Linked DNA regions of Diceros bicornis minor. The protein of the gene in region 1 interacts with the protein of each later gene in a biochemical or structural test. Links are inferred from orthologs where the notes say so. Each region holds a gene or a part of one and is shown in the gene's direction. Other genes may lie near its edges.

Region 1 (5,084 bases):
GGCCATGCTGAGGCCGTGTCCCACATACAGCAACTAGGAGGATGTGCAGCTATGACATACAACTATCTACTGGGGCTTTGGGGAGAAAAAGGGAGAAGAAAAAGGAGGAGGATTGGCAATAGATTTTAGCTCAGGGCTGGTCTTCCTCAGCAAAAAGAGGAGGATTGGCATGGATGTTAGCTCAGGGCTGATCTTCCTCACAAAAATAAAAAAATTAAAAAATCCAGGCCAGCGCTGGGAATTGGTGGAGCTGACTGATGGGTAAATAGGGGTTCATTATACTATTTCTCCACTCTTTATATGTTTGAAATTTTCTATAATAAAGGTTTTGCTTTTTAAAAATCTTCAGGTAAATTACATCTCAGAATCTTATAACTAAAATAGCTCAACCTCTTTGGGTACTTTTAGAGACATTGTGGAGACTGGAAGAAGTCATGCCAATTTCAACTGGTGGTTTATGAGCACTTTGAAAGGACAGTCGTGATCAGTGGCAATCAGCACAGGTTCACAAAGTTGGAGTATACCAAACTAACCTCATTCCAGGTTAAGAGTTAAGGATCTGATTTACCAGGGGCCTATAGTGGACAATATCCCTGGATTTCAGCAAATTGTTTGATAGTATCTTATATTTACTTGAGAGGCCCACAGTGGGGTGGAAAGGCCTGCTTTGTTTTATATAGATTTGGGGAAAAGAGCTTCGTCCTAGAGTTAACAGACTGGTTTGAATTCTCACTTTTTCCTTTTCTAGCTGTGTATTTGGTTGTGTTACTTCACCTCTCTGAGCATTAATTAATTTATTCATCAGTAAAGTAAAGGTAACATTTACCTTCTAGGGTTGTTGGGAGGAAGAATAAGAACTTATACTAAAGTACCTTAACACAGTACCTAGCACATTTCATTTTCCAGCAAGATGAAGAGGAGGGGGAAGTAACAGGAAATAGAGAGTCCAAATTAAGGGCCATAATGATCTCCCTTTATGCAGAGCTAGTGCGGGCCTGTAATACCATTAGGAAGAAGGGCAGGGATAAATTGCGGGAAAGATCTGAAGCAACAGCCTGTGTTCCACCGTGAGCCTAAGGGAGGATGACTCCAGGAATGGAGATTACTCACGGAATCGCCTAAAGAGAAACTCTACCAACCAGAGATGTCCAGCCTAGGAGTCAGTACTTTGTGAAATCCTATACTGACCTTGCTGCCACTAGTGTTCAAGAGGACGTTGAGAAATATATAAAACGCAATTTCCTACATCGGAAGAATTTTGACCTATTGAGATTTTGCACGCGTTTTCAATTCTGATATGAGCTCCTGAGCTCAAGCGGGTCTGAAAGTCTGGCTCGCTATGAACCTGCCATTTATATAAGAGGTTTTAGGTCGGGATTGTCCCTTCCAGGGGAGGATTACGGAGATTCCGTGAGGCTCCAGAAAGGCCGCCAGATGGCGCCCTGCGACCGACTGAAAAATCAACTTCCTTCCTCTTCCCCTAACTCTTCCTGGCAGCAGGGTCCCGCTCCGAGCGGGGGACCGCAGGGCTGGGGCCCGCCAGCTTCCCCCTGGGGTTCCCCAGCTTCAGAGGTGGCCAAGCGTTAGGCACAGCATAAGCCAAGTAGCAGACTGGGCTGCCAGCCGTCTGGGGCAGGCCTGGGTGGGTGAGAAGACCGGAGCCGGGGCCCTCGGCCCGGGAATGACAGTCAGTCAGCGGATCCCGCCTCAGGCTGATCCCCCAGCCAGAGCTCACGGCTGGGTGACAGGCATCCCCACTCCCGGCTCCCCGCGCTGCGCGAATCTTTTCCCCTCTAAGAGGCGCACCTGAGTCGCTCCCGATTGGCTGCGCGAGTCCGGGAGTTAAACTTTCAGCCAATGAAAAAGGGCATGGGGCGTGACGCACGCACACGTCACGGGAATTCCCCCCTCCCGGGGGCGGAAAAGGGGCTTTCCCGGCTGGAGCCCTGGTGGCTGGAGAGGTGTCGCGACCCGTCCGAGGTGGGTCGGGCCGGGAGAGAAGCCGGAACCGGAGCCGCCGCCGCGGTGAGTGGCCAGGTCCAGACCTCCCGGGTGCCCGGGACACGGGGAAGGGCGGGAAGAGGGCCCTTACCTGACTCTGAGCCCGGGGCTGGAGAGCGGCTTATGCACGCGCGCGCGCGCGCGAACACACACGCACAGATCACACACACGAACAAGACACACAGATACACATCGACATCCTTGTACAAAGACATGCCGACCCGTACGTACACCTACACGTATGCCAGCGTGTGTATAGCATTGCCCATGCACTCGACTCGCACACACATGCACACGCAAACATGCTCCCACAGATGTCTGGACCCATACTATTCACGCACAAACTCAAAGACAGGTTCACCTGTGCCCTTACATATCAAGACATGCTCAGGCATGTGTCCACACTGAGAAGTTTAAGGACGCTCACCTGTACACAGACATGCTCACTGGCACACGCGTGTTGACGCCATGCACACACAACACGCACGCAAGCACATGGGCCGAAACACACTTGTATACCTGTGATGGAGAGACACACATGTATTACACACGGCTCGGACTGGGGCGGGGGTCGTGGGCACGCAGAGCAGGTGCAGTGGGAGAAGCAACAGCTGTTAAGATGTTTCGGGGAGAGGTAATAGAGGAGCCCATCCCAAGGAAGAGACACCTTTCCTCCCCCCGCCCCGCGGCCCCAGAGTCCGGTTCTCGGGGCAGAACCCCGGGGCCCCCCACTGGGAAGAGCCCCCGCCTACAGGCCTTCGGGGAGGAGGCCTTCCTACAGCAGGAATGTCCCCCCAAAAGCCCCCAGGGTGAATCAGCCGTGGCCTCCCTCGGGGTAGAAAATCCCAAGGTTGCTCCAGGACGGGGGAGGGGATGGAGGCAGACGTGGACGCGGACTGGAAGCCTCCCCCGGCCATGAAAGACCCTCTGGTCCCCGGCGCCTGCCTGGAGGGAGGAGGGGGCCCAACCCACACGGGGGCTTCCCTGGGGTCTGGTTGCCCCTCTGCCCACTGAGAGGCTACGGGCGCCCGCAGGCCAGAGAAGACCGCGCGCCCCTCCCGCCGCGGGGGCGTGGCCAGTGGCGTCATTTCCAGGCCCGCCCCCTCCGGCCCCGCCTCCCCGCTGGTATTTTCGGGACTTTCCTAAGCTGTTCTAACTTTCCTGCCCCTTCCCCGGCCCAGCCCAGCCCAGCTCCGGATCTCGCCCTCCACCGGATCTCGCCCGCCACACCCGGACGGGTGGCTGGAGGAGATCGGACCCTCCCCCAAATCTGGGCCCCCCTTTCTCCCCCCACTCTCGTCCTGATCTCTCTCTCTCCCCGCCACTCCCCCCCACCTAAGGCGGGCGCCTGAAACTCTGGGAAACAGAACCCGGCCGGAGCCACCAGATAGAGCCGGGCCTAGCCCAGAGACATGGAGAGTTGCTACGACCCAGTGAGTCACGCCACCTGACCTGAAGCCGGCGGCTGCCCCCCTGTGTTTGTCTGCTTGTCTGCCTGTCTGTCCGAGTCCCCTCTGCTCCCCTACGCCTGTAATGCCCTCGGATTACCTCAGCCTGCTTATCAGTCTGTCTGCAAAGTTTCCAATAGGAGCTTTCTTATGGGCCTGGGAAGGAGAGGGAGTGATTAGTAAGGGCTTCGAGAGCTGGGAAGTGGAGGGCTCTGGAGGTGGCTCAGAATCAGCTGCCACCTGTCTCTCTCCAAAGCAGGGTCTGGATGGTATCATTGAATATGATGATTTCAAATTCAACCCATCCATTGTAGAGCCCAAGGAGCCGGCCCCAGAGACAGGTTAGTAAGTCCCCTAACATCCCCTTGTCTTAGAGGGAGGGGGAGGGAGGAGCATGTGCCCTCTGCCTTGGGGATGGGCTCAGAGATCCTGGCTTAGCAAGGCCCCTCTGTCCCCAGCTGATGGTCCCTACCTGGTGATCGTGGAACAGCCTAAGCAGGTGAGTGAGTGGAAGGGATGGTGTAGGATGGCTTCAGCTTTGGGAGCAAGTGGGGTAGTTGTAGCTGGGTGGCCATGGGGAGGGTCACTGACCACAGAGGCCACTTTGGGTTGGGATGATTGGCTGCTGCTGATCACAGTGGTGTGGTTGTGGTTCAAGACCAACACTACCAGTCATTATGGTCACTGCTGGCTGGGGGTATGGCTGGCTTGGGGGGAGTCTCTCCTGGTCACAATGTCACTCTGCCCTGGGACCTTCAGCGAGGCTTCCGATTTCGATATGGCTGTGAAGGCCCCTCCCACGGGGGACTGCCAGGTGCCTCCAGCGAGAAGGGCCGGAAGACTTATCCCACTGTCAAGGTGAGCCAGGATGGTGCTGGAGGGTGGGCTAGTGGATAGTGTGTCCAGGGGCGTTACTGACAGCCCTCACCCCTCTCAGATCTGTAACTACGAGGGACCAGCCAAGATCGAGGTGGACCTGGTAACACACAGTGACCCGCCTCGTGCTCACGCCCACAGCCTGGTGGGCAAGCAGTGCTCGGAGCTGGGGGTCTGTGCCGTGTCTGTGGGGCCCAAGGACATGACTGCCCAGTAGGTGCCCTCTGCCCCTGGCCCCCACTGGCTTGCCCCCTCATTGCCTGCCAGTCCGAGGCCCCAGCCCACCTCTATGAGCTTAGCATCTGACCAAGGGGAGAGACTTAGGCTGGCCCCAAAACCCAAGGCCCCAACTGAAAACCAGAAAAACTTCCTAGAGGAAGTGGGGCTGAGCTGAGCCCTGGTGGTGGGGAGGGTGCCTTAGGAGGAAAGAACTGCCTGTAAAGCCTCTGACTCCCCTGCCCCCACCAGATTTAACAACCTGGGCGTCCTGCATGTGACGAAGAAGAACATGATGGAGATTATGATACAAAAACTTCAGAGGCAGCGACTCCGCTCCAGGCCCCAGGGCCTTACGGGTATGGAGGAGAGGGAGGGAGTCATGAGAGGTGGTCATGGAAGGAGTAGAGGAGGAGTCCAGGGGTCACGTCTGTGCCCATTGCCCAGAGACTGAGCGGCGGGAGCTGGAGCAGGAGGCCAAGGAGCTGAAGAAGGTGATGGATCTGAGCATTGTGCGACTGCGCTTCTCCGCCTTCCTTCGAG
Region 2 (5,084 bases), on another chromosome or scaffold:
GAGCGGGAGACAAAGAGACGGGGGCGGGGCCGGAGCCCTCCAGAGGGAGGCCAGGGATGGAGGGACAGAGTCGCAGAGACAGGGGGCGACACAGAGAGAGAACCAGGGAGCCCCTGCGTGCCGCCTGCACAGACCCGGGGTGCAGCCCCCATTCCCTGTCCCCCGAGGTCCCCAAAGCCTCCCCCTCCGCCTCCCGTAACTCAGTGACCGGGGCTCAACCCCGGCGACGGCCCCGCCTCCAGGGAAATCCGGGAAAGCCCCGCGCGCCAGGCCCCTCCCCGGGGCGGGGAGAAGGGCGCGAGGGGAGGGGCCGGGAGCAGGCCAGCCTCCGCCCCTCCATCCACCCCCTGGCTCCAGCCTGCCTCTGAGTCATGCCCCCAACCCGCCCGGCCTGTTCCCCACCCACCAACCCTGCCCGCGATGGGAGGGGGATGGGAGGGGGAAGGGAGGGGGAGCATCACTGCGCCCCCCAGGCCCGGACTTGGGTCGCTCCGGTTCTGATCTTGCGTCTTTGCGTCTCTTGCTATCTCTCTGTCTCTCTTTTGCTTGGTGTCTCACGATCTGTGTGGCTGTGTCGCCACGTCTCTTTCTCTCCGTGCGTCCAGGATTCCCAGAGCACCCACCCGGTGCCCGGTGCTCGGGCCGGGTGCAGGGACCCCACGCGGGGAGACACACTCAGGGCTCCTCTGCGCACTCGCCATCGCCCCCCACCCCAGCGAAGTTCAGGCCGCGGCCGGGGAGGCACATGGAGAGGCAGAGGTGGGGGCAGGGCAGGCAGAGGAATGGTGCCAGGGCGCCTCCCAGGGCACTCCTCGCCCTCGCACTGGAGGAAGCGGCTCAGAGAAGGGAAGTGCCCTGCCAAGGTCACCCGGCCAGGAAGTGGGAGTCGGGACTCGACCCCGCGTCCCAGCGACCCCGGGGCCTCATGGAAGTGCCTCCCTGGGGCAGAGGCTGCGAGGCAGACAGCACTCGAGACAGAGAGATGGGGAGAGACACAGAGACAATAGAGACAGTGGGAGAACAGAGACACAGAGACAGAGGCTCGGAGAGACACCTATCGGGACAGGAGGGTCAGAGACGGAGTTAGAGGCGCAGCGGTAGAGAGACAGAAAGACACACACGGAGACGGCGACGGAGACAGGCCGCACCGCAGGGGTGGGACCCCCACCCCCGACCCCGCCTCCTTCCCACCCCGCCCCCGCCCCCCGCAGAGGCCGGGCGCCCTGGGCGCGCGGGGCGGGAGGGGCGGGCGCGGGGCGCGGCGCGGGCGGGGCGCACGGCGGAGGCAGCGCGGGGCGGCGGAGCGGCGGCGGGTCCAGGAAACCCCTGGGGCGGACGGGTGGCCCCGGGGGGGCCGGGGGCGGGGAGGCGGGCGGCCGGCACCGCCCCGGCCGACAAAAGTCCCTTCAGTTCAGCCGGCGGCAGGGGAAGTCCCGGCGCCCGGCGCAACCACCCTCCCGTGCCGCCGAGCCGAGCCGCGCTCCGGCCGCCCGCTCGGCCGCCGTCCCCGGCGGCCCCATGCCCCGATGCCCCGCAGGGGCCATGGACGAGGGGCCCGTAGACCTGCGCACCCGGCCCAAGGCCGCCGGCCCCCCGGGCGCCGCGCTGCCGCTCCGCAAGCGCCCGCTCCGCGCGCCCTCCCCTGAGCCCGCCGCCCCCCGCGCCGCCACGGGCCCGCTCGTCCCCCCGGATCCCCTGCGCGGCGGCTCCGACATGCCGGCGGTCCCCGCGCCCCCCCACGGCCTGGCCCGGCCTGAGGCGGTTTACTACCCTGGTGAGTGGCTCCCGCGGGTCAGGGCCGGGTGGGAGCCAGACGGGGCACAGGGTCACAGAGCGCGGGGCAGAGCTCAGACACACATATGGGTCCCATGGAGCTGAGGGACAGGGGCACAGAATCCAGGGTCCCAAGGACACACATATGGAGTTGCTGGGGAGCTGGGGGCAGAGCCTGAGGTCCCAGGACACAGATATGGGAGCACCGGGGAGCAGTGTTTTGGGACTGCAAATATGAGGGTCCTAGGCAGTGGGTGTTAGGGGGCCCTGGGGACAGAGCCCAGGGTCTGAATGCCACAGACGTGGGGACCCAGGGTACAGTGCCCTGCAGTACAGATCTGGGATCTCAGAGAATCAAGGGAGCAGGTCCTGTGGTCCCAGGAACACGGAATTATAAGCTCTTAAGAACCCATATATCTAGGGTTATACGAAGTTGGTACTTGGGCCCAAGAAACTGGGGTTCTTGCTATCCAGATATGTGGGGTCAGAGGGGGTCAGGGGAACAGAGATGGGGGTTCTAAGGAGACAGCTAATAGGGACCCCAGGGTGTGAAGATCTCAGGAACCAAGATATCAGAGAACAGTGGGAATTAGAACAGAGCTGGAGTTCTGAGCACCCCAATATCCAGGCATCACGGGATTGAAGGAAACAGACCCAGGTACTGGCAGTCTTGAGGAGCCAGTGGGACAGAGATCCAGTGGGACAGAGATCCAGTGGGACAGAGATCCAGTGGGACAGAGATCCGGTTATGTGTGGTCACAAGGGGACAAGGTCTCATCTGAGATCAAAAAGTCAGGTGGCCCGAGGGGGTTTGGGGACTGAGGATTCTGGGAATGGGGGGCAGGACTGGGGTATTCTGGGACTCAAGGATTTAGGCCAGGATGAAGGATTCAGGGGTCGCTGGGCAGAAGGCCGATACAGAGACCTGGAAACTTGGGGGTTCAGGAATGGGGGGTCCCCAAGGATCGGGAGATGACAGAGAAGGCCAAACGCCATTCTCCCCATCCTGACTCCATCTGTGATCTCGAGGAAGGGGCATCCCCTTCCACAGCTGTGCGTACCTCACCATCCCCGAGTGACCCCCAAGGCTGCAGAGAGCCCGCCCAGTGCCTGCAGACCTTTGCCCAGTTTCTGCACCTTCCACTCCATCAGCGCAGAGCAGTTGGATAGCCTCGAGCTGTGCATCAGGCGGCCTCCTCTCTCTCCCATTCCCTGGGTGAGAAGCCAGGCCTCAGTTTTCCCATCTGTGTGATGCGCCCATACAGATTTGACGGTTGCCATGGTCCTGTCCAACACTTTGATCTGAACAGGCTCCTGGCACCCCTGCTCACCTCCTCACCCACCCTTCACCCCAAACTCTCTACGCATGCACCCCACGCCCTATACCCAGTGCTTCATCCATTCTTACCTCTCTGAGCCACAAATTCACTCAGCAAACAGGCCCTGGGGTCCCCCTGCTGGGTGATGATGGGGGTCTCTGCCTAGTAGGAGGTGGGGGTCAGACACATGAAAAGATAAGTCACAATGAGAGTGACGAGGGCTGGGGGACAGGGTTGGGGGGAAGCTGCTGGAGCCCAGAGGAGGGACGTGGAAGGGGAGATTGTTCTGGGCCTTGAGGACCCAGTAGGAGATGCAAAAGTGACCTGGAAAAAGTGCAGGTGACACCAGCAGGGGTGAAGGCCCACAGGTCGGGGCTGGGCTGAGGGTCTGCGGGCTTGGCCTCACTCACGTTCTTTCTCTGCCCAGGACCTATACTGCCCCTGTACCCCACCCCGACCATGGGCTCCCCCTTTCCTCTGCTGAACCTGCCTACGCCCCTGTACCCCATGGTGTGCCCCATGGAACATCCCCTGTCGGCTGACATCGCCATGGCAACCCGTGCAGATGAGGACGGAGACACGTGAGTAACAGTCCCCCGCTGATGGGGGGTGGGGAAGCCAGTCCTCCACCCACCTCACCCACCGCCACACAGGGGCACTCAGCTTGGGCTGTCGAGTTCCCTCCACCCCAGTTAGAATCTTGTCTCCACCACCTGCTGTGTGACTTGAAGCAAGGCCCTTTCCCTCTCTGAGCCTCAGTTTCCGCTTCTGAAACACGGGGCCCCTGAGAGCACGTACCTCCTAGGACTGTTTTCAGGGCAGGGGGCTTCACATATTTTATCACAATCCCCAAATGAGAAAGACATTTCATTGACTGATTGATCATATGAGTTATAATGTTAAGCTCCTAGCCTGAGCCCGGTAGATTCTAAGTGCTCAATAAGTATTAATTAATATTATTATTGCTACTTTATATTAAACCCAGTGCATATACACACATATAAACTTGAAAAAATAATTGCCCAGAACAAAACAATACTCATCCTTATTACATGAGATCCGCTTTGGTGTTTTCTAGTCTAGAAATAGAAATAGAAATAGTTTCTCAGCTGGCTACTTTCTCATCCCTCTCTGCCTCAGTTTCCCCCTGTAAAAACAGGAACCACATGTGTGCGAGGGTCTCTGTGAGGCAGAAATGAGATGATTTCTATAAAGTGCCTATCTGGGAATTGGGGACTGGGAACCATAGGTAGGGATGGGATGAACAGGCCTATGTCTGCAGGACAAGGGAGGCCTCCACCACCGGCCCACTGGGTGACTTCACATCCCTAAGCCTCAGTTTCCCTATCTGGAAATCAAGGCTCAGGGTAGCACCCAGCACAATGAGGATTCAGTGCAATAATGTACATACGTATGGTGCATAGAACAGAGTGGGTGCTCAATACATGGGGGTGGGTGGTGTTCGAACAGAGGTTCCCCGCGTGGTTATGGGCCGCCAGTGTGAGCCCAAGCCGGAGAAAGTGCCTGAGACACATAAAGGGCTCGATCAAGCGAGTTCCCTCCCCCTCTGTGTCCCTCCCGGGTCATCTGTGAAATCGATTTCGTTTGTCTCTGCCCCCAGGGGTGAGCTGTTTGCAGCCTGTGAAAGCAGGGTGCAGAAGGCGACCTGGCACACCAGCCTCCAGCCCCGCGCCCCACCCGCCCTCCCCCGCGCTCCCCCCTCTCCCCCTTCTCCCCCAAAGCAAACACTTCTGCCTCAGCTGCCTGTGGGGGAAATCCCTTCCCGCAGAACTTGACCGCAGCCCAGCTGCTCGGCCTCCCCCACGTCAGCACCCGTCACTCACTCGCAGCCTCCCCCTCCTGGCGCTCCCTCTAACCTTAACCCCTTCCGCTGGGGGCCGAGACTTTACCGGAATGGGCAGCTGGCGCAGCCTGGGGGCGGGGGAGGGGGACACGCTAAGTCCCCAGCGCGGCAAAGCTTGGGTGGGAGGC

The links. The genes of interacting proteins can lie anywhere in the genome.
Region 2: the proteins of NFKB2 (region 1) and BCL3 form a complex in vitro, tested with the Homo sapiens proteins (2 studies listed by BioGRID). The link is inferred for Diceros bicornis minor from reciprocal best matches to the Homo sapiens genes NFKB2 and BCL3.

Annotation. Positions count from the first base shown.
Region 1 is NC_080745.1:67,377,143-67,382,226, forward strand, and holds the start of NFKB2 (nuclear factor NF-kappa-B p100 subunit), read left to right. Parts: upstream 1-1,919; 5' UTR 1,920-2,025; intron 2,026-3,156; exon of another isoform or gene 3,157-3,341; 5' UTR 3,342-3,413; coding exon 3,414-3,434; intron 3,435-3,705; coding exon 3,706-3,790; intron 3,791-3,907; coding exon 3,908-3,948; intron 3,949-4,208; coding exon 4,209-4,307; intron 4,308-4,386; coding exon 4,387-4,538; intron 4,539-4,793; coding exon 4,794-4,900; intron 4,901-4,988; coding exon 4,989-5,084. UniProt on the Homo sapiens protein: NF-kappa-B is a pleiotropic transcription factor present in almost all cell types and is the endpoint of a series of signal transduction events that are initiated by a vast array of stimuli related to many biological processes such as inflammation, immunity, differentiation, cell growth, tumorigenesis and apoptosis.
Region 2 is NC_080773.1:19,124,742-19,129,825, forward strand, and holds the start of BCL3 (B-cell lymphoma 3 protein), read left to right. Parts: upstream 1-1,363; 5' UTR 1,364-1,518; coding exon 1,519-1,774; intron 1,775-3,519; coding exon 3,520-3,673; intron 3,674-5,084. UniProt on the Homo sapiens protein: Contributes to the regulation of transcriptional activation of NF-kappa-B target genes. In the cytoplasm, inhibits the nuclear translocation of the NF-kappa-B p50 subunit.